Canis lupus familiaris: one gene and its partner. The protein of the gene in region 1 interacts with the protein of each later gene in a pairwise test. Links are inferred from orthologs where the notes say so. Each region holds a gene or a part of one and is shown in the gene's direction. Other genes may lie near its edges.

Region 1 (9,715 bases):
AAACTCAATGGGGGAGATCTGAGAGCTACTTGCCCTCCTGAACTACTATGCTCAGGCATTGCAGAAGAGCACTTTTTTTTTTTTTTTCCTTAGGAGGGTATAAAATCAAAGATATGAGCACCAAGTGCTGAGCAGGAAGCTTGGGATTTGAGAAGTAAAAACAGGCAGAAAACTGCAGCAGGGACAGGCAGTCCAAACACATGAAGTACAGTGCCTCAGCTGGAAGGAGGCTGACGTGCCCAACTGTGAACAGATGGAGACATGCTTATGGGGGCAGGGAGGGAAGCTGGCCCATGATTATACCCTGGGCTGGCAGTGTTTGTACAGGAAGCAGTTGTCACAGTCCTGTTTTCTAGTCCTAAGATCTGCCATCCTGAGAAGCCAACCCTTCCAAATGAAGGCCTGTTTCCTGTTGGAAGCACTCCTCCCTCCCTACGGTAGCCAGCAGCAAGTGCTGTTGGAATTAGGCTCCAGCTTTTTGCTCCACTGGCCCTGCTATCACCTTAGCTCCTCTGAGCTAGTCTCTACCTAGGAATCATGCTGGCCAGGCGAAGCCTGGGCCTGTCTATCGGGCATTCCTACCTTTCCTGATTCAAATGCTGCCCCTGTCTCACCCAAAGGCAGAATGTGATCCTCTTTCATCTAAATCAGAGGTCAGCAGACTTTTTATGAGTCACACAGAAAACAACGAACCAACTTTGCCATTGTAGGATAAAAGCAGCCATCACCAATATATAAACAAGAAGGTGTGGCTGTGTTCCAATAAACTTTATTTACAGAAACAGCTGGCCATGGTCAATGAGCACATGAAATGATATTTAAGGTCGTTAGTCGTCAGGGAAATGCATATCAAAACCAGGACGAGACACCACTTCACACCCACGAGGATGGCTAGAACCAAAAATACTGATGAGGATGTGGAGAAATCATAAGCTCTTGGTGTTGCTGTGGCAATGTAAGATGGTGCAGCCACTTTGGGAAACAGAATAGCAGGTCTTCAGAAGGTTAAATAGCATTACTCCATGACCCAGCAATTCTACTCCCTCAGTACATACCCAACAGAACAAAAACTTATGTTCACACCAAAGTTTATTCCCAAATGTTCATAGCAGCATCATTAATAACCCAAAGTAAAACCAAGCCAAATGTCCTTCGATTGATGAGCAGATAGAATGCAGTATTACCCATACAAATGTTTGCTAATAAAAAACTACAAAGTTCTGACACATTACAATATGGATAAACATTGAAAACATTTTTAAGTGAACAAAGCCAGTCACAACAGACTACATAGCATAAATGATTCCCTTTATATTAAATGCCAGGAATAGGCCAATCTATAGAAACAAAGTAGATCAGTGGTTGTCTAGGGCTGGTGGTGGGAAGTGTGGGGAAGAGTGACTGGCTAGCTATGCTAACGGGTATTGGTTCTGGGGGGTGATGAAAATGTTCTAAAATCAATTATGTTGATGCTTGTGCCATCTGTGAATGGCACAGATGTGTCCATTCCATTCAACTGGACACTTTCAACAGGTGAACTGTATTTCAATAAACCTGTTTCAAACCAAACAAACAACAACAACAAAAAACAACCAAGCAGGTGGTCAGCCCACAGGCTATAGTTTGCTGACCTTGATTCAAGTCAAAAGATGGCCCCAAACACCTCTAAGTGACACAGCATAGTTTAACAACCACAAGTAAATCCAAAGGTGAGAACATTACCAGGCAAACATCTTCATACTTGATTGCTTTTAACATGAGCACCGTGATGGCACCAGAGCAGAGTCCCCTCGTAGGGTAGCAGATTAGGGGACCCTCACAAAGAACAAGTGTCTAAGCTAGGAAAGAAAGGCTACCGACAACCTTTTGTTTCCTATTTTGGAATACTTATCTAGATCTCTGTGAAAGAAAACCATAATTGCACCCTCTACTCTGAGATTAAAAATACAGCAAGTGCTTGATGTTGTTAATCCAGAACCCAATGAAATAATGTGGTGGCACATTATTGTGGCCACATTAATGTGTGGGTTTTCTTGTTCTCAACAACAACATTAATGTGTGGGTTTTCTTGTTCTCATCCCAGCTATTTTTTTAAATTTATTTTTTATTGGTGTTCAATTTACCAACATACAGAATAACCCCCAGTGCCCGTCACCCATTCACTCCCACCCCCCGCCCTCCTCCCCTTCTACCACCCCTAGTTCGTTTCCCAGAGTTAGCAGTCTTTACGTTCTGTCTCCCTTTCTGATATTTCCCACACATTTCTTCTCCCTTCCCTTATATTCCCTTTCACTATTATTTATATTCCCCAAATGAATGAGAACATATAATGTTTGTCCTTCTCCGACTGACTTACTTCACTCAGCTCATCCCAGCTATTAATAAACAAATACAAACGGACAAGAGAAGCTTTTCTTTCTTGTGTATCTGTTTCAGGCTGTATGAGACACACAGAACCAGAAGCAAGCTTCTTCTCCTGTGAGCCTTGCTTAGTAGTGACCATCCCATAACCTAAATTTTCTAGGACACAAACATGACAGGGAGACAATGGTACTAACCTGTTTGCCTGAAGCTCTATTCATTTCTTGAGGCTGTTGTAACACATTACCACAAAGTTGGTGGCTTAAACCAAGAGAAGTGTATTCTCTTGCAGTTCTAGAGGCCAGAAGTCTGAAATCAAGGTGTTGGCAGGGCCAAGATTCCTCTGGAGGCTCTGAGGAGAATCCATTCCTCCCCTCCTCTGGCCCCTGACGTCTCTCAGCATCCCTTGGCTTGTGGCCATGTCTCCCTACTCTACCTCCAACCACTACCTTCTGCGTGTGGCTGTGATGCTCTCTCTGCATCTCTTATAAGGATGCATGTGTTTGTATTTAAGGCCTACCTGGGTAACTCAAACTCAGTTCCTCCTCTGAAGATCCTTAGCTTAATCACCTGTCTTGCCACATGAGGTAATATTCAGTCTCTAGAACACAAAGTGCTCTTCACAGGTTCCAGGGATTTGAGATCAATTTATTTTGGAGGCAGGAGCATTGTTCAGCCTACCACAGTAGCTGGCTGGCCCAAGTGCAGGGGAGGGCCATACCGGCCTGGGAGCTATTCTCGACCTGGGATTATGGATCTGCAGTTCTCTCTTCACACAATCCACCCCCCAGCCAGAGGAAGGCATCTGTCTGCCTGGTGCCACCAAGCTGGTAGTAGAGAAGCAGTGTGCAGCTCTAGAACAAAGAGACTCTGATCGGAGGTTGAGATGGGATTCAATAGCCGTTAACTCTAGAACAGTTATGAGCAAATGACCTGACGGAAAAGAGTGGAGGTTAGTGTTTGTTTTCAATTGTTTTCATCAATTTTGTATATTTTTTTTTTCTTTTCTTTCTTTAGCTTGCGAGTAACCAGTAAAAGTAAGGAGTCGGGGCTTTCTGACCTCACACGGCCTTTCTGCCATTCCAGGTGTGGGCACATCAACAGAGGCAGGCGCAGATTTACATATGACAACTCAGAGCTGGAAAAGAAGATTTCGTGCTGCTCGCCTCCCCCAGACTACAACTCGGTGGTCTTATACTCCACCCCGCCTGTCTAAAGTTTGACACGTCGCCTTATTTCTAGAACCACACAAGTATTTATGCTCCCTGAAAACTAGCTTTTGCCAGTATGACACATATAAATTTACACCTTTACCTTTCCACAGGAGCAAGCTGACTTTTATGATTTTTAATAGTGCTTTTTTTTTTTTCTTTTTGACTAACAAGAATGTAACCCCAGATAGAGTAATAGTGACAAGTGAAAAACACCACTAGTAAATCTTCACATTATTCAGTGTGTTAGAGAAACCCTTTCTAAGCCCAATGACTTACCTGCTCCTACCCCGAGACCACAGGGCATTTGACGATTCAGGAGGTGCATTGATCATGCAATGCAGTATGGATTCCACAGGGTCAGCCACCGGCACCCTGGAACCAGGAGACGAGTCCTAAGCTGACCTACATGATGTCTCTGGGGTCCTCTAGCAGATGTGATGGCAAAGAGGAGAAGGAAAGAAGGGAGAAAGAAAGAAGAGATCAAACAGGACAAAGAATTTTTGTGCTGTCCCATATGGGAAGGGAGTAGGAGAGGGCTGTCAGCCATGACACTGCTGTGGCTTCCAAACCCTGACCAAACCTGGTCCACATGGAGAACCCAGCCAGGGAGCAGACAGGACAGAAGGATGAGGGGACATTTCCGGACTCCAGCAGGCAATAAAAGGACAAACACATTTTTTTTGGAACTATGAAACAAATTGTAAAATGTTAGCTATGGGATTGGACCTATGCCCATTCCCATTTATGGCACATTTTGAAATTTCTAGCATGGAGCTTCGTGCTCAAATCTGAGCTGAGACTGCAGGCCCCTCTAGCAAGACACACTGCAAACTCACCCTGAGCTAAGTTGGCTCCATGGCATGATGGCCTCACACTTAGCTGACTGCTCAGAGCAACCTAATTGGAATGAGTTTGGTTTGTTAGGGTTACTTGTCGGGCTTTAAGCCACATTTCCAAAAATATTGTCAGATTCTATTTTGAGTCTTAAAATGTATAACCAAGACACTTCAATTTTTTTACATTAACCTGTTTTATATAGTTAGTTATAAAAGGAAGCTGAGGAGGATGAAAATGAGTCTTGTGGAGGGTTTCCTCTATACCAAAACCAGAATAGATGGAGCAAAAATAGGATGAACAGAGTGAAAACCCCATCTCGATACCAACCAAACCAACTCACTGAAACAGTTGGGACCCAAAGGACAGGAAGTCAATCATGTTTCCTTTTTAATGGGGATTCTACTATCTCACCCTAGTCCACTGGAAAGATGGGGAAGAGCATTAACCAATGTTTATTAAGCACTTTATGCTCCTTGAGAAAAAAAGGTGATATGTAATTTATGCAAGATACTTTCAGAATTGGGACTCAGGATATTAGTTAATGAGCCATCAATAGGAGAAAAGCCTCTTTTCATCTACTTTGGACCTTGTCTTGGGTCTGAGAATGATGGAAATAGGGAGACAGGGTACAAAAGGGTGCCTACTCTTCAGGGTTTAAAGACCCTGGATCTCTCAATTGGCTCTGTTTGATGCTATGTGTTTAGGATGTATGCACCTTCTAAAGCCAGTCAAGGCTGGACAGGCAACAGTGAATTGCTGCTTCTGGTTATAGAGAAGAGTACACTTCCCTTTATGCAAGTAACTTATCTCTAGAACCTGAAATATAATAGAAGAATCTTTGCTTCCTACTCTGTGTATCACATTCTTGGTTCAAGATTCTTAGTATAAAAAGATGGGACAGTAAGCAACACCCCAAGTGAGGTACCGGATGCTCCAGTGGTGGCTCTGCTGGAGAAGCCTCTGGCCAGCAGAGAAGTGAGGCAGGCCTCCCCACCAAGAGCCCAGCGCAAACAAAATCAGGCCAGGGGCTAGAAGAGGGGATGAGCTTTGTTCTTCTTCCTTGCATGCACAAAAGCACCTGTGATAGCTGGCAACAGTATCAGTCAGGTAACCAGAGGAGGTTCAACAGGGACAATTTAAAAAGACTTTAATTAGTTATTTTGTTTTTTCCAAATCAGAAAAAGATCCAGCAATTAGTGAAAATGAACACCTTAACTCTACATACAGTATCTCAATTTCAATAATCTAATTCTTAATTATTCAGGGACCTCAGTAATACTGTCTCCCCCCCCCCCCCAAAATGTATTAGAACTATGTTAATTTGGCTGCTTCAAAGACTCAGGTTGAGCCCATCAGTCAAAAACGGTCCCATCTAGAGTCTTAGCACAGAAAAAAGAATGGAAGCTTGCAATAATGAATCTTTGTGACATGCTTGCCAGAATGGTTCATTAACCAGCACTGGACATTAAAAAGCACTGAAAATTAAAACACTAATTAACTGATATTATTAGAACCATTTGTCACTTGTGATACAAATAGTTGGCACTAACAAGCAAGGCAGCATTTCCTTTCAGGATTTGGGAGAACCTGTATGTGTAACAGTGTGGGTGGAATGGGACTGAAACCTCATGCAAGTCTGTATCCAGTTAGTCTAAGAAACGATGCGTAGACCTTAGTTTTAGCCCATGGAAGAAATGTGTCTAAATCCTGAAAAATGGTATGTAGATCTCCTAACCGTGCCTTGTTTCCCAGCCTGTAAGAATGTCAAACATGAAACAGATACTTGCCAGCCCCTTTTAGTGGGTGAAAGGAAGAGCGCATCTTTGACTGACAGTGTATGTGTATATACGTGTGTGTGTTTTGTGCGTAACTATTTAAGGAAACTGGAAATTTAAAAAATTACTTTTATACATACCAAGAATATATGCTGCAGATATTAAGTAAGACTTAATTTTGTCCTACATCTCTAGTCACTATGAATGTATTTTGTATGCTATCTTCATATAATAAAATTAACTTCTAAAAACATCTACATATTTTCTCCAATTTGCTTATACAGGAATAAAGGGGGTCACAGGTTTCCTTGAGGGTGGAGGACTGGTATTCTGGGGGATCTCATTAAATACCAATTATGAAACACAGCACAAGAAGAATCAAGCAAGGACTCTGAAAAGAGGGGCAAAGAGCTGTCTTTTAGGGCCACAAGATGGTTGCTCTCAACCATCGGTAAATGAAAACCAAAATCACACAAGGCACATCACCCAGAAAATGAAACACTAAAATGAACACAATCACAGGCAAAATGTACAGACCGAGTGCAAGTGCAAGTGATTAAAAAAAGAGGCAAGTTTTCCCAAACACTAATATTCAGCTAAGAAACTATTACCTTAATTACAGGATATGTGTGTATTAGAGGTGGTATACAGGAAACCATACAAAATAATTAGACAAAAGCCTATAAGACACAAGGGCTTCCCTAAGAAAAGTACACCAGCCACATACTCTTCATTTTTGTTTTGGTGGATGACATCTTAAAAAGAGAAATAATTCAGATCATCACTAATAGAATAGGTGACCAGCACATTGTCTTGGAAAGTCACCTTCCTAAAAACATCATGAGGAAACTAGATTGGAGACATGTTGTAAGGGAAATCAGGCCTCCTTTCTTTGGGACAGCGGCAAGAAAAAGGAAAAATGACTCCTCTCGGTAAATTTGTGGTTAACTGAAGAGGGCACGAGGCATTTTATCTTCATGAATCTGAAATCCTTTTAAAAAATTGTTGGTGTTCATAGCATAAGAGTAAAGTCACTCATGAAGCACATGATTTGAAGAATGCTCGAAGAATGCTCGAGGAATTGGTGTCCCGTCATGGTTTAGAAATTTTCTCATGACTCTGGAAACTTATAGGACATTTGGGAATTGTTTCTTTCTTTCTTTCTTCTAGCAGGATGGCCCAGTAAGGCTTATTAGACTCCTCAATGTTAAACATATTACCAGACTTTTGGGTTTCACAGGCCAGTAAGTTTTACAAAAATATCCTTGATCTAAACACATGGATGACTAGCTTTCTATTTTCTGAACTAAGGATATTTTAGGGGAGAAACAAAACAAAACAAAAACAACTAGAGGCCACAAATGTTCTCCTTCTTGATCTGGGTGTGGTACATAGGTGTGTTTGTGATAATTTATGGAGCTATATACTTATTTGCAAACGTGTGTGTGCTATTCTTCAATAAAAGATTAAAAGAAAAAATCCATTTATTTTTTTTTAATTTTTTTAAAATTTTTTATTTATTTGTGATAGTCACAGAGAGAGAGAGAGAATGAGGCAGAGACACAGGCAGAGGGAGAAGCAGGCTCCATGCACCGGGAGCCTGACGTGGGATTCGATCCCGGGTCTCCAGGATCGCGCCCTGGGCCAAAGGCAGGCGCCAAACCGCTGCGCCACCAGGGATCCCGAAAAAACCCATTTAATATCACTTTTCACAGAAGACCCATTTTAAAAAGAGTAAGGACTTAATCTCAGACAAAAATAGGTTAATCTCATGCATCAACAGCTAAGTGTTTTATAACTTGTATCATAAGTTATACCCACATCAATGGGAAGATTGAAGTAATCAAGAGAACTTCAAAATCTCACCATCACATCTACTCACCTGCTGGCATCTATACTCACATACTCTGCTTTCTCTTCTGCATGGCCAATTCAAAACATGCTCTGATGCAGCTGGACTCCTTCCTATATGCAGGGACACAGCTCCAGAAATTCAGCATTTCCTCGTCACCCTCAATGTGTCCCTTTCTCACTAGATCATACAAATACGCAGTTGTCTCTCCCATGTTACTAAGCAAAAAACCTTCTATCCCTCCTTTATCCTCCAGCTACCACCCTATTTTTGTTATTCCTCTTTACAAAAAGATTCCTTGAGGTGGTTAGTCTCTGTTTCCAATTCCTTCCCACCAAGTACTCTTAAACTTACTCAAACAGCTTTCTCTGGCATGCTGATGCTGCTCTTGATGAGGTTATCAGTTACCTGCAAATTGCTAAATCCAACAGCCAATTTTCAGTCTTAGTCTTTCTTGCCTCATCAACAACTAGACCCTTACTCCAGAAAATACCTACTTTAACTTTGATGACAGGATGTCACACATTTTTCTTCCTACTTCCCTGGTCATTTCTGTCCCTCTTGCTAGTTTTCTCTTTTCTCCGACATTTGAACATTGTTGCAGTTACCCGAGGGCTCTGTCCTTGGGCCTTTTCTCATCTCCCGTCTATACTAACTCCCATGATGTCCACCAATCACAGGGCTTTAAATGACATCTATATAATGATTCATTACATGTACAGACCAGATCTCTCCCCCAGACTCCAAACCCACACCCATGCAAGTGTTAAACTGACATCTCTTGATGCTGTGGCCAACTCTGTTTTCCAAAAATAGTGGCAATAACATCTCCCATCCCACATGACCTGTGGCAATGTGCCCTTGCCACTTCCCCATTAAATTCCTCTCCCCTAGAATCAAAGATGCCTTTGTGACTCACTTGTAATCAACACAACGTGGCAGAAGTGACACTGCATGACTCTGAGGCTTGGTCAGAAAAGATCATGCCCTTTCCACCCAAGTCTCCTGTACACTCATTCTCCAGAAGCTCCCACCAGAGACCTAGTCGCCATGTTTAGAGAAGCCTGAGCCACAGGGCAGGGCCACATGTATCTACAGCGACAGTCCCCAGCTGAACCCAGCCTTTTAAGTCCTTCAGGCCCGGTGCCAGATCAGATGCTTTCAGCCCCCAGCCATTGGAATTGTTCCAGCAGATGCCCCAAACATAATGGAAGAGATAAGCCATCCCAGCTGTGCCCTGTCCAAATTCCTAACCCACAGAATTCCTGAGAACAATAAAATGGTTGTTTTATGCCATTAAGGTTGGAGTCATTCCTTACAAAATAAGTAACCAGAACAAATGTGTACTAAACATCTTAAACTTAACAGGTCCCAGACCAAACTCCCTATTGTCTTACCTCATTTCTCCATCCTTCTTGCCCACCCTCCAAAAAACCCTTTGTTTCTAGTACAAGCTCTTTCAATTCAGTAGAATCCTCCATCTTGTCAGCATCAGGTCAAAATCTTAATAGTGATTTTGACTTCTTTCTGCTTTTCTCGCCCATATCCAATAATCAGGACATCCCTTTGGTTCTACATTTAAAATATATTGAATCAAATCACTTCACGCCACCTCTAGTGCTATCACTCCAGTTCAAATCCCTAACATTTTTTTGCTTGAAATACTGCAAGAGCTT
Region 2 (9,715 bases), on another chromosome or scaffold:
AGTGTGCCACACCTCAGTGTCCGTGTGAGTGGACATGAGGGCCGAAGCGTGATGTGCCAGGGTGTGAAGACGGGCTCGAGTGTCTGAGGGTCGGTGGGACTGATTGTGTCTCTGGGCATTCAATGTGGGAGGCCCTGTGTGTGGGAGGGTGAGTCTGAGTGTGAGACCCTGTGTGTGTGTGTCCGGGCCTTGGGAGTGTGCATGTGTGAGTCTGGCTGCTGCCTCCGCACTCGGCCCGGGAGGGGGCTCCCCACCCCGGCGCCCTCCTGGTCCCCGGTGCCCACTACCCACCCCGTCCTCCCTGGGCCCTCCCTGCGGCCCCGGCCTAGTGAACAGTTGAGCCCGGCCCCGTGACTGCGCGTGTCTCTCTCTGGCCAGATCATTGCCAACCACCACATGCAGTCCATCTCCTTCGCGTCAGGCGGCGACACGGTAAGGCTGGGGCCGGGGGGGTGGACTTCTGGTTCCCTGTGTCCCCTGCAGCCTTGAGACCCTCTGCTCCCGCGGAGCTAGGCGAGGAGGCCCGCAGCCCGGGCAGGCTGGCGGAGGGGGTCTGACTGACCCCTGTCACCCGTCCTCTCTCCCCAGGACATGACGGACTATGTGGCCTACGTAGCCAAGGATCCCATCAACCAGAGAGGTGAGGGTGGGCGGGGCGGGCCGGGCAGGGTGTGCCAGCCGGCACGGCCACACCAATGCCGCGTGACCGCCATCCGCAGCCTGCCACATCCTGGAGTGCTGCGAGGGCCTCGCCCAGAGCATCATCAGCACCGTGGGCCAGGCCTTCGAGCTGCGCTTCAAGCAGTACCTGCACAGCCCGCCCAGGGTGGCGGTGCCCCCGGAGAGGTACCAGCCCGCCCCCCCCGCTCCCCGCGCTCACCTCCGCCCTGGCTCTCAGCCACCGTCCTGTTCCCACACCTGTTAACCCAGATGAAAACCCGAACCCTAACCCCCCCCCGCCCTCCCCCTGCCCGGCTGAGGCGAGGATCCAGGGCCCGTCGCGGCGGCTGTCATCTCCAGTCTGCACGGGGGTGGCCAGCGTGTCTGTGAAGGGCCCACAGTCAATGTTTTCGGCGTCGTGGGCCAGACCACCTGTCTCGGCCGCGTGGCAAGAGCAGCCGTGGGGGCTGCTAGCGCTCGGTGGGCCCCAGGCCAGCCAGCCTTTATTTATAGACGCTAAATCTCAAATTTCATGTCACTTTTCCGCGTCACCAGACATCGTTCTCTGGACGTTCTCTGAATCGTTTCAAAGTTCTGTGGCTGAAAAGCGTAGAAAGCACCTGCAGCTGCAGGGCAGGGGCCGGGTCGTACCTCAGCGGGCAGAAGGAGACCCCGTATGGAGTGTTAGGAATTCACACGTGCGTGACAAGGCACAGGAAGGGTTTGCAGAGAGAGCCGGGGCCCCGAGTCCCCTCCGCTCTGCCCGGCAGCCGCCTGCCCGTCCCGTGCCACCTGCACACCCGCCTCCTGGCTGGGGCCCCCAGCCCGGCTCGTCCCGCTCCCCTGTGCAAGGCTCAGGCCACAGGCCCTTGGCCCCCCCAACCCTCCCTCCCGGCCCTGAGCGCGGAGCCTCCTGTGCTTGTGTGTGTGTGCAGGCTCACCAGGCCCGAGGAGTCGGCCTGGGGCGACGAGGACGAAGCGGACCACAATTACTACAACAGCATCCCGGGGAAGGAGCCACCCCCGGGCGGGCTGGTGGACTCCAGGCTCGCCCTGGCTCAGCCCGGTGCCCTCGGGGCCCTCGGCCAGGTCAGCCCCGTGGGCCCCCTGGGGGCGGGGTCTGCCAGGGTGGTCCTTGGGCCCCCAGCTTCTTCTGCTCCCTTCCCCGTGATCCTAATGGAGGGTCCCTGCCTCCCCCACTTCCTTCCCCAAATCGCACAGATGCGTCTGGCTCCACGGCCGATCCGCGGTCACGACTCCCCGCTCCAGACGCTCGGGTGATTGTGTCAGAGGTTTAATCGGGGCCGTGAGCTGAGCTCCCAGGGGTGGTCTCAAGAGTCCACAACAGGGAGACTGACCCTGTGGCCGGGAAAGCAGTGTCTGGGCTGGGCTCCGGCGGGTGAATAGGAGTTGCCTGGGCGAGCAGTGCAGGGAAGGGCACCCCAGCGGAGGGAACAGCGTGTGGCAGGAGCCGAGCGGGCAGCTGAGGCTGCAGCGGAGGCGAGTGGACAGATGGACAGACGAGGGCAGTTGCAGAGCCAGGGGCTGGGCAGCGTTGAGAGGCCTTGGAGCTGCCCTTCGCGTCTGACTTTTGTCTCCAGCCCTGCGGGGGGCGGGGCGCCGGGCTGGGCAGGGGGCTTGCACCTGCAGGAGGACCCCCGCTCTCTGTTTCAGGGGGCAGCTCCTGCTCGACGGGACGCCCGCAGCCTGCCATGGGACCTGGGCCCGTCAGGTGCTGGTAGGTGCCCCGGGGGCTCAGCTGTGGGCCCCTCCTCTTCCACCCGTGACCCGGTGCTTGCTCCCCAGGCTCCAGACTCGTTGCTTTGCTTTTTGGGGGGAGCGATACTGCATTCCCGTGGTTCAAAATGCCAGCGCGTAGGAAGGCGTTCAGCGACAAGTCCCGTCTGCCCGTCCACGTCCGGTCGGGCCACCACTGTCGTCGTTGCTAGCGTGCGTTACTTTTCCAGATTTTTCCATGTGTAGTCAAGCCAATTCAGTGCGTACATCGTCCGGCTCGCTCCTGCAGATGGTGCATCGTGTGCACACTCCCACCGTGCGTTCGCCACACGGCCGACCCCGCACCGGGGCCCGGAGAAAGCGTGCAGTTGCCCTCCCGTCAGGTGTTTTTTAACAAAATGATTCCGTTTTCAGCCCGTGAGCATTTTATCCTGTGACTCATCATTCAAAACGACACGAGGCTAGAATCCGCCTTGGGCCCGGCTCCCCTCTGGGACCTCACCTCCCCCGCGCCCCCCCCCCCCCCCCCCCCCCCCCCCCCGCCACTCTTGATGGGCTCAGAGCCTCCGTGCTGAGCGAGCCGAGGCCGCCCTCCCAGGTGGCCGTGCCAGGCGCCTCGCCCACCCGCCTGCTGCGGCCGCCTGTTCCCTCCAGCCTCTACAACACCTGCGCTGCGTTTGCTGCTATTTTCGATCTTCCCGAATCATCTGGGCATTTCGCTGCCACGCGTCAGAACCCTCCCTGACTCCCAGCGCCGTGGTTAAAGAGCCCTTCTGTCACTGGGCAGCCACCGGGGCCCTGGTGCTGGGCCCACGGCCCCGTGTCACTCCTGAGTCCCGGGGCTCCCCAGCATCTCCCGGCCGGAGCCTCTGTGAACTGCTCTTCCCCGCTCTAGCCAACGACGCCGGCGACACGCTCCCACCCCAGCTCCCACGGCCTGGGATTCTCCGTCTGGACGCCTGCCGCCCGGGGTTCGTCCCTGTTACGCGGCCCCGGCCCCGAAAGGCTGGGGGACTGGCCATCCTCCGGGTGGGCCCAGGCTGACACTCCTGTTGAGCCAGAACCCCTGCCGGATACCGTCCTGCAGGCTTAATGCCCCTGCTTGTAAAGGGGCAGCTCCGATTCTCCCCGTGTCACAGAGCACGGGACTGGGCACGAGAGGTCCGCTCACGTGCCCGTGTCCATGGATGGCAGGTGGAGCCGGCCTGTGAGCTCCCAAGTCCACGGGGAAGGACGAGGTGGGCATAGCAGGGACATTGCAAACTGTGTATTGGAATCATCGCTTCTGTGCCGGGACTACAAGTGGTGACGTTCAGAGATCCACAGACAGTTCTGGAAAAACACACACGAGTTAACTTTGAACCTTGCAAAGAGGCTCAGCCTTGCTCAAAATAAGGGAAACGGGAGCTAATGTCCTCGTGGGGCCACGTCTCACCTCTCAGCCCCGCAGACACCCGGCACCTGCTCGGACGCCGCGGGGAGCGCCGGGGAACCGGGCACAGGTGGCCCGGTCGGGACCCCGCAGAAGCTGGGGTGCTGAGTGGACCCGAGGGACAAATCCCTCCAGGGATGACTTTTCCTGCGGGGGAGGCTTTTGAAGCACAGAAATGCTTCACACGCTCACAATTAACGTTCAAGAGAACAGGAAGGAACTCCTAAAATAGAACAGAAACGAGTGACCATGCGTCACGTGGGTGACGTGGATGACACAGTTACGGGCGGAGCAGTGTCATTGTTATTTTTCAGACGTGGGCGTTTCACACTCACGTAGGGATTCCTGCCGCCGGGCTGCCTGGGGGCAGCGGCCCCACTGATGTGGTGCCCAGCTGCCCCGCAGCCCCTGGGGACATGGCGGGGTGGTCAGCCAGAGGGTGCTGCACGGCGTCTTTCCCGGGGGCGCCGGGCGTGGGTGGCCCCCGCTGACCCCGCCGCTCTCCTGTGTTCGCAGGCCCACCGGGGGACGGCTACGTGCAGGCCGACGCCAGGGGCCCCAGAGACTACGAGGACCACCTGTACGTCAACACGCAGGGTCTGGATGCCCCGGAGCTCCCGCAGGCAGAGGACAGCCCCAAGAAGGATCTGTTTGACATGCGTACGTGGGGGGGCCCAGCCTGCTGCCCCTTGGGGCTTGGCAAGCTGGTGAGGGTGGCGTGGGGACGAGTGCTTCCTCTGGGACTCCCGGTCTGATGGTGGAGGCTCCGGGGCCCCCCTTCCTGGGACTCTGCAGTCTCTTAGGGGGTAAGCGAGTTTCCTCTCTAGTTTAAGGGGAGGGCGCTCTTCTCTATGAGACTCCCCCCTCTCCTGGGGGACTGGGCTCCTTCCCCCTGCCGGCCCCCCGCCCCCCGTCTGATGAGGGGCTTTAGCTGGCTCCTCCCTGGTTGGAGGACCTGGGCCCTAACCCTCCCACTGGGCTTGTCTCATGGAGGAGGCTTGCGTCCAGGGCACCCTCCTGATCCAACCACGCTGTCCTGTTCCGCCAGCGCGTCGGGGTCTTGGCCCGTGAGGGGTCGTTTCCCTACCTCAGACACCCCCTAGTGGGAGATACCCCGGATCCACCCAAGCCAGCTGGGAATTTTGGGCTTCACCGAGTCTGCAGAGCACCCCCAGCCCAACAGCCCAGAGTCTTAGCACCAGCCGACCCGAGCTGTCCCTGCAGCAGCTGCCGCTGGCTCCTCACAGCCACCCTCATGCTGGCCGTCCCCTGGGGGTGACCAGATGGCCCAGCGACCCCGGCCAGGCTTCCCTTGAGAATTCTGGGCCGCCCCGGGCCGGCGGGTGGCAGGCTGAGGAGGACACGTGGCTTGGCCAGGCCCGGTCCCGGGTCCTGGCGGCCAGATGTCCAGCTGCACTTGGACCACAGGATTCCCAAGGGGCAGGGGGTGGCAGGGCTGTAGGGGCCCCGGGGACAGCTGCTCGGGGCCGGTCGCTGGGGCGTCGGGGAGCCTGACCTGTGCGGCCCTGCGTCCCACTTACGGCAAGGAGACCGACAGAGGGCGAGCGGCACGTCCGGGTGACACGTCCAGGTGATGCTGGCGCCTGGTGGGAGCCTCAGGAAGCCCCTGGGGACCCGCAGGGGCCCCCGGGTCTGTAGGAGGCAGGCGTGCACGGCTGGTGCGGGGGCTGCATGTGACAGGGGCTGCACGACACGGGTGCCACAGACACTGGGCAGGAGGCCGCAGGGACGAGACAAGAAAAAGAAGTGTGTGTGCACGTTGTCGTCGCCTATATGTGCCGCTCAACTACCAGGACCCGACAGCGGTGAAGAAGAGCGGTGCACGGTTGGCGCCACACAGCAGGCAGGCAGAGCACAGGCACACAGCACGCAGTGCACACTCACCACACACACCCACAAGTGGACACTCAGCACACACACCACCACACACCCACTCAGCAACGCTCCCACACAGTGCACACTCAGCACACACCTGCTCAACACAATGCACACACCCACTCAGCACACACTCCCACACAGTGCACACTCAGCACACACACCCACTCAGCACCCCCAGGTGCACACTCAGCACACACCCAGTGAGGGCCTGCGGGCTCAGTGCGAGGTCCCCAGCGCAGACCCCTCCCCCTCCAGCCCTGCCCCCAGGGGGCAGCTGCCCGCCCCTGACTCCAGCTTGTCCTCGTCCTCGCCCGCAGGACCCTTCGAGGATGCTCTGAAGCTGCACGAGTGCTCTGCGGGGGCGGGCACGGCGGTGGCGCCCCTTCCCGTGGAGGATCAGTGGCCCAGCCCCCCCACCCGCCGGGCGCCCATCGCCCCCACGGAGGAGCAGCTGCGGCAGGAACCCTGGTACCATGGCCAGATGAGCCGGAGGGCGGCAGAGAAGCTGCTCCGAGCCGACGGGGACTTCCTGGTGCGCGACAGCGTCACTAACCCCGGGCAGTACGTCCTCACGGGCATGCACGCGGGGCAGCCCAAGCACCTGCTGCTGGTGGACCCAGAGGGCGTGGTAAGGGGCGGGGCACCGGGCGGGGGCGTGGCCAGAGCGGGCGGGGCGTGGCCAGAGCGGGCGGGGCGTGGTCAGGGCGGACGGGGCGTGGCCAGAGCGGGCGGGGCGTGGTCAGGGCGGGCGGGGCGGGGCCAGAGCGGGCGGGGCGGGGCCAGAGCGGGCGTCCACCTCCGCCTATAGGTTCAGGAAAGTCTGTCCCGGATTACAAAGCCGGCTGTTGACGGATTCTGTCCCGTTTACTAGGTAACTTAGAATTACACAGTATTTCCCACTTTGTCAAGAATTTTGGAATCTATAAAGGAGTTCCCAAGTCAATACAGCATTTTGCGGGTTACAAAACCTTTTCCAATTTCAGGGCCTTTCAGGGTTTACAAAGGACTATATCTGATGCCCTTTCCCCACCGTCTATAATCAGTGTGCATCCTACAAATAATGGTGCCTTGGATAAATATGACGTTTTCTTTTCTAGTGTATTTTAAGGCTCAGAAAGCATGTTTCAATTTACGGGGAGTTCTAGGCTCTACAAGTTGCTAGATGCACACTTTCCCCTTGTTTTGACGTCTTTGAAGCCTGTGGCTTTTTTTTTTTCTGTGTGGGTTTGTTTGTTTGTTTTTTGTTTTTTTAGCCTGTGTGTTTTTAACCCCGTCCTTGAACTGCATGATTCTTTCACTGTGGGTCCCCCCCCTCCTCGTGGTAGATGAAATCGTGCCGCACCTGACCGCTGCTTTGAGTCAATTTGACCTTTGGTATTGTACAGCTCCTAAAGCATTTCGGGGTTTACAAAGCATTTTTCAATTTGCAAGGAGTTCTAGGGTTTATGCCGCGTTTCCCAGCGTCCAAGAAGGGCCTTGGGGTTCACAGCTATTTCCCAGGGGAAGGAGCTTGGGGGTGTTAGAGTCTTGCCAGAGTTTACCAAGTGCTATACTGCCTCCAGCTGAGTCCCCAGAACCGCCCCCGGGGAGCTTGGTATGTTCTCCGTCTCCGTGTAGGTCACTGTCCGGTGGTGAGGTGGGGGGCCTGGCCTGGGGTGGGGGGCTGTTCTTTCCGTTCCCCTTGTGTCTGGCTCAGAGCTGTAATCTCTGGCCTGGCCTGTGAGGTCAGTACCCCCTGGACCCCCATTCCCTCTCTGCTAAGGGATCTACAGGACAGGACTGGCAATTCCTAAAGCTCCAGAAGCTTCAGAACTTCAAGTTCTTTGTCCCAGTTCCAAAGAAGTATAGGGTTTTGCCACGGGGCCCAGGAACGTGCGTTTGAAGCCTGCTCTCCAGAGTCTTGTGTCCACTGAGCTCGCCTTGTCCAGGGACTAGCCGGCAGCGGGGCCAGCGGGCTACCGGCTCTGGTGCATCCAGTTGTAGCATGTGGTGGTGCTAAGATTTTCTCGTTTCGAGATGCAGCAGATTGTTTTCTGTTAGGCGTCCCCGAGATTTCCTAGGGCTGCCCTGCCGAGTGACGGCCAACTAAGTGGTGTAAACGTCAGGAGAGTGTTGTTCCCCAGCTCTGGAGGCCGCAGGGTGGAGAGGCCGGTGCTGTAGGGCTGGCTCCTGCTGGGGCTCCCACAGAGGGCCCCATCCAGGCTCTCCTGGCCCCCGAGGTGCAGGCAGCCCTTGGTGTCCCTGGGCTGTTGACGTGCCCCTCTGGTCACTGCTGTGCCTGCTCTTACAAGGGCACCAGTCGCTGGCTTTGGGGCCTCCAGGAGGAGCTCACCACAGGACTCTTCACTTAGTCACCTCTACAAAGACGCTTTTTCCAAATAAGGTCGCATCCACAGGTGTCAGGGTTTGGGGCAGACATGTCTTTTTGGGGCCTCCATTCAACTTGGGCAGGAAGTGTGGCCCCCGCATCCTGTGCTTTCAGAGCCTGTGTCCCTATCTAACTCTGGAATTCTGAGTCTGACTCTGGTTGAACCGGAAGCTTCTGGGCTGGCGGTTCTGACTCGAGCCTGCATCAGACCCTCGGGGCGGGCCCTCGGGAGGCAGATTCCCCGTCAGCAGGCTCGCCTACAAGCTCCCAGCGGTGCTGATGCCGAGGCCTCTGGCCCTGCAGGTGCGGACCAAGGATGTGCTCTTTGAGAGCATCAGCCACCTCATCGACTACCACCTGCAGAACGGGCAGCCCATCGTGGCCGCCGAAAGCGAGCTGCATCTGCGCGGGGTGGTCAAACGTGAGCCCTGAGCCAGGTGTGTGGTCGGCCCGCGCGCTCCCAGCGTTCACCCGTTCACCCGGTTCCTTTCGCATTTAAAAAATTAAGCAGGAATTCACAAACTACTCAATCCACCCATTTAAAATGTGCCACTCAGTGGTTTTTAGCGTGTTTAGAGATGCACAATCATCCTCTACCTAATTCCAGAACATTCCATTGCCCCAAAAGGAAATCCTGTCCCCGTTAACCATCAGCCCTCAGCCCCCCAACCCCCTTCCCCTCCCCCGGCCTTCCCAACCCCTCCCCGTGTATGGACGAGCCCGTCCTGGACGTGTCACACTCGTGGACTCGCACCCCGGGGGCCTCCTGTGTCTGGTTCCCTCTCTGAGCGTCGTGGGCTTGGGGTCGGTCCCCGGGGCAGGGCATAAGGGCACCTCGCTCCTGCTCAGGCCTGGTGATGTGCCTGCACGTGCGTGGACACGTGTTTACCTGTTCACTCCCATGGGCATCTGGCTGTTTCCACTTTTTGGCTGTTACGATAATGCCACTCAGAACATGCACGTCCAGGTTTCTGTGTGGACGTGAGTTTTCCTTGCTCCTGGGTCTGTACCTGCCGGTGGAGTTGCTGAGGTGGTGACTCCGTGTTGAACTGCTGATAAGAAATCTCGGGAGGAGGTGGAGCTGCGCTGGAGGAGGGGCTAGTGTGGATGTTCGCGAAGACGTTGGGGGACATGAGAGGGGCACCTCGGCTTTTTGCTTTTGTTGCTGGGGAGCCGTGGGAGAGTTTTGAGCTGAGGAGGAGTAGGCAGGTCTGGGTGATTCCAGCACCTTGTTGGTGAGAGACTGCGGCCTCTGGGGGAGGTGGGAGGTGGTTTAGGCGGAGAAGATGAGGCGGAGCAGGGGTGCATGAACTGTCTTGGGGAGCGGGAGTCGTGGGACCTGGGGTTTGGGAAGCCAGGAGCTGGGGGCTCAGCTGTGGAGGGAGGGGCTGCAAGGGGGGCCTGTGGAGATTCCCCAAGGCTCAGCAGAGGAGTTTGTGGCCAGGTTGGCTGCTCTCCTGGCCCGTGGCAGCCCTGGAATGGTCTGCAGTGCCGCCGGGCTGTGTGATTGCACGCGTCGGGGTAAGACATGCTTCCCTTCTGTCCCCAAAGGGGTTTGTGACCTGGGAAGCAATGCCGATAGCGGTGCTAGTACGGTAGCACGGTGCTCAGCACCCCCG

Evidence for each region.
Region 2: the proteins of FLT1 (region 1) and SHC2 interact in a two-hybrid assay, tested with the Homo sapiens proteins (2 studies listed by BioGRID). The link is inferred for Canis lupus familiaris from reciprocal best matches to the Homo sapiens genes FLT1 and SHC2.

What each region holds. Positions count from the first base shown.
Region 1 is NC_049246.1:11,462,283-11,471,997, forward strand, and holds the end of FLT1 (vascular endothelial growth factor receptor 1), read left to right. Parts: intron 1-3,378; coding exon 3,379-3,577; 3' UTR 3,578-6,444; downstream 6,445-9,715. UniProt on the Homo sapiens protein: Tyrosine-protein kinase that acts as a cell-surface receptor for VEGFA, VEGFB and PGF, and plays an essential role in the development of embryonic vasculature, the regulation of angiogenesis, cell survival, cell migration, macrophage function, chemotaxis, and cancer cell invasion.
Region 2 is NC_049241.1:58,493,077-58,502,791, forward strand, and holds part of SHC2 (SHC-transforming protein 2), read left to right. Parts: intron 1-378; coding exon 379-432; intron 433-588; coding exon 589-640; intron 641-719; coding exon 720-846; intron 847-1,595; coding exon 1,596-1,749; intron 1,750-2,334; coding exon 2,335-2,398; intron 2,399-2,627; coding exon 2,628-2,780; intron 2,781-4,345; coding exon 4,346-4,489; intron 4,490-6,045; coding exon 6,046-6,356; intron 6,357-8,399; coding exon 8,400-8,528; 3' UTR 8,529-8,533; intron 8,534-9,715. UniProt on the Homo sapiens protein: Signaling adapter that couples activated growth factor receptors to signaling pathway in neurons. Involved in the signal transduction pathways of neurotrophin-activated Trk receptors in cortical neurons.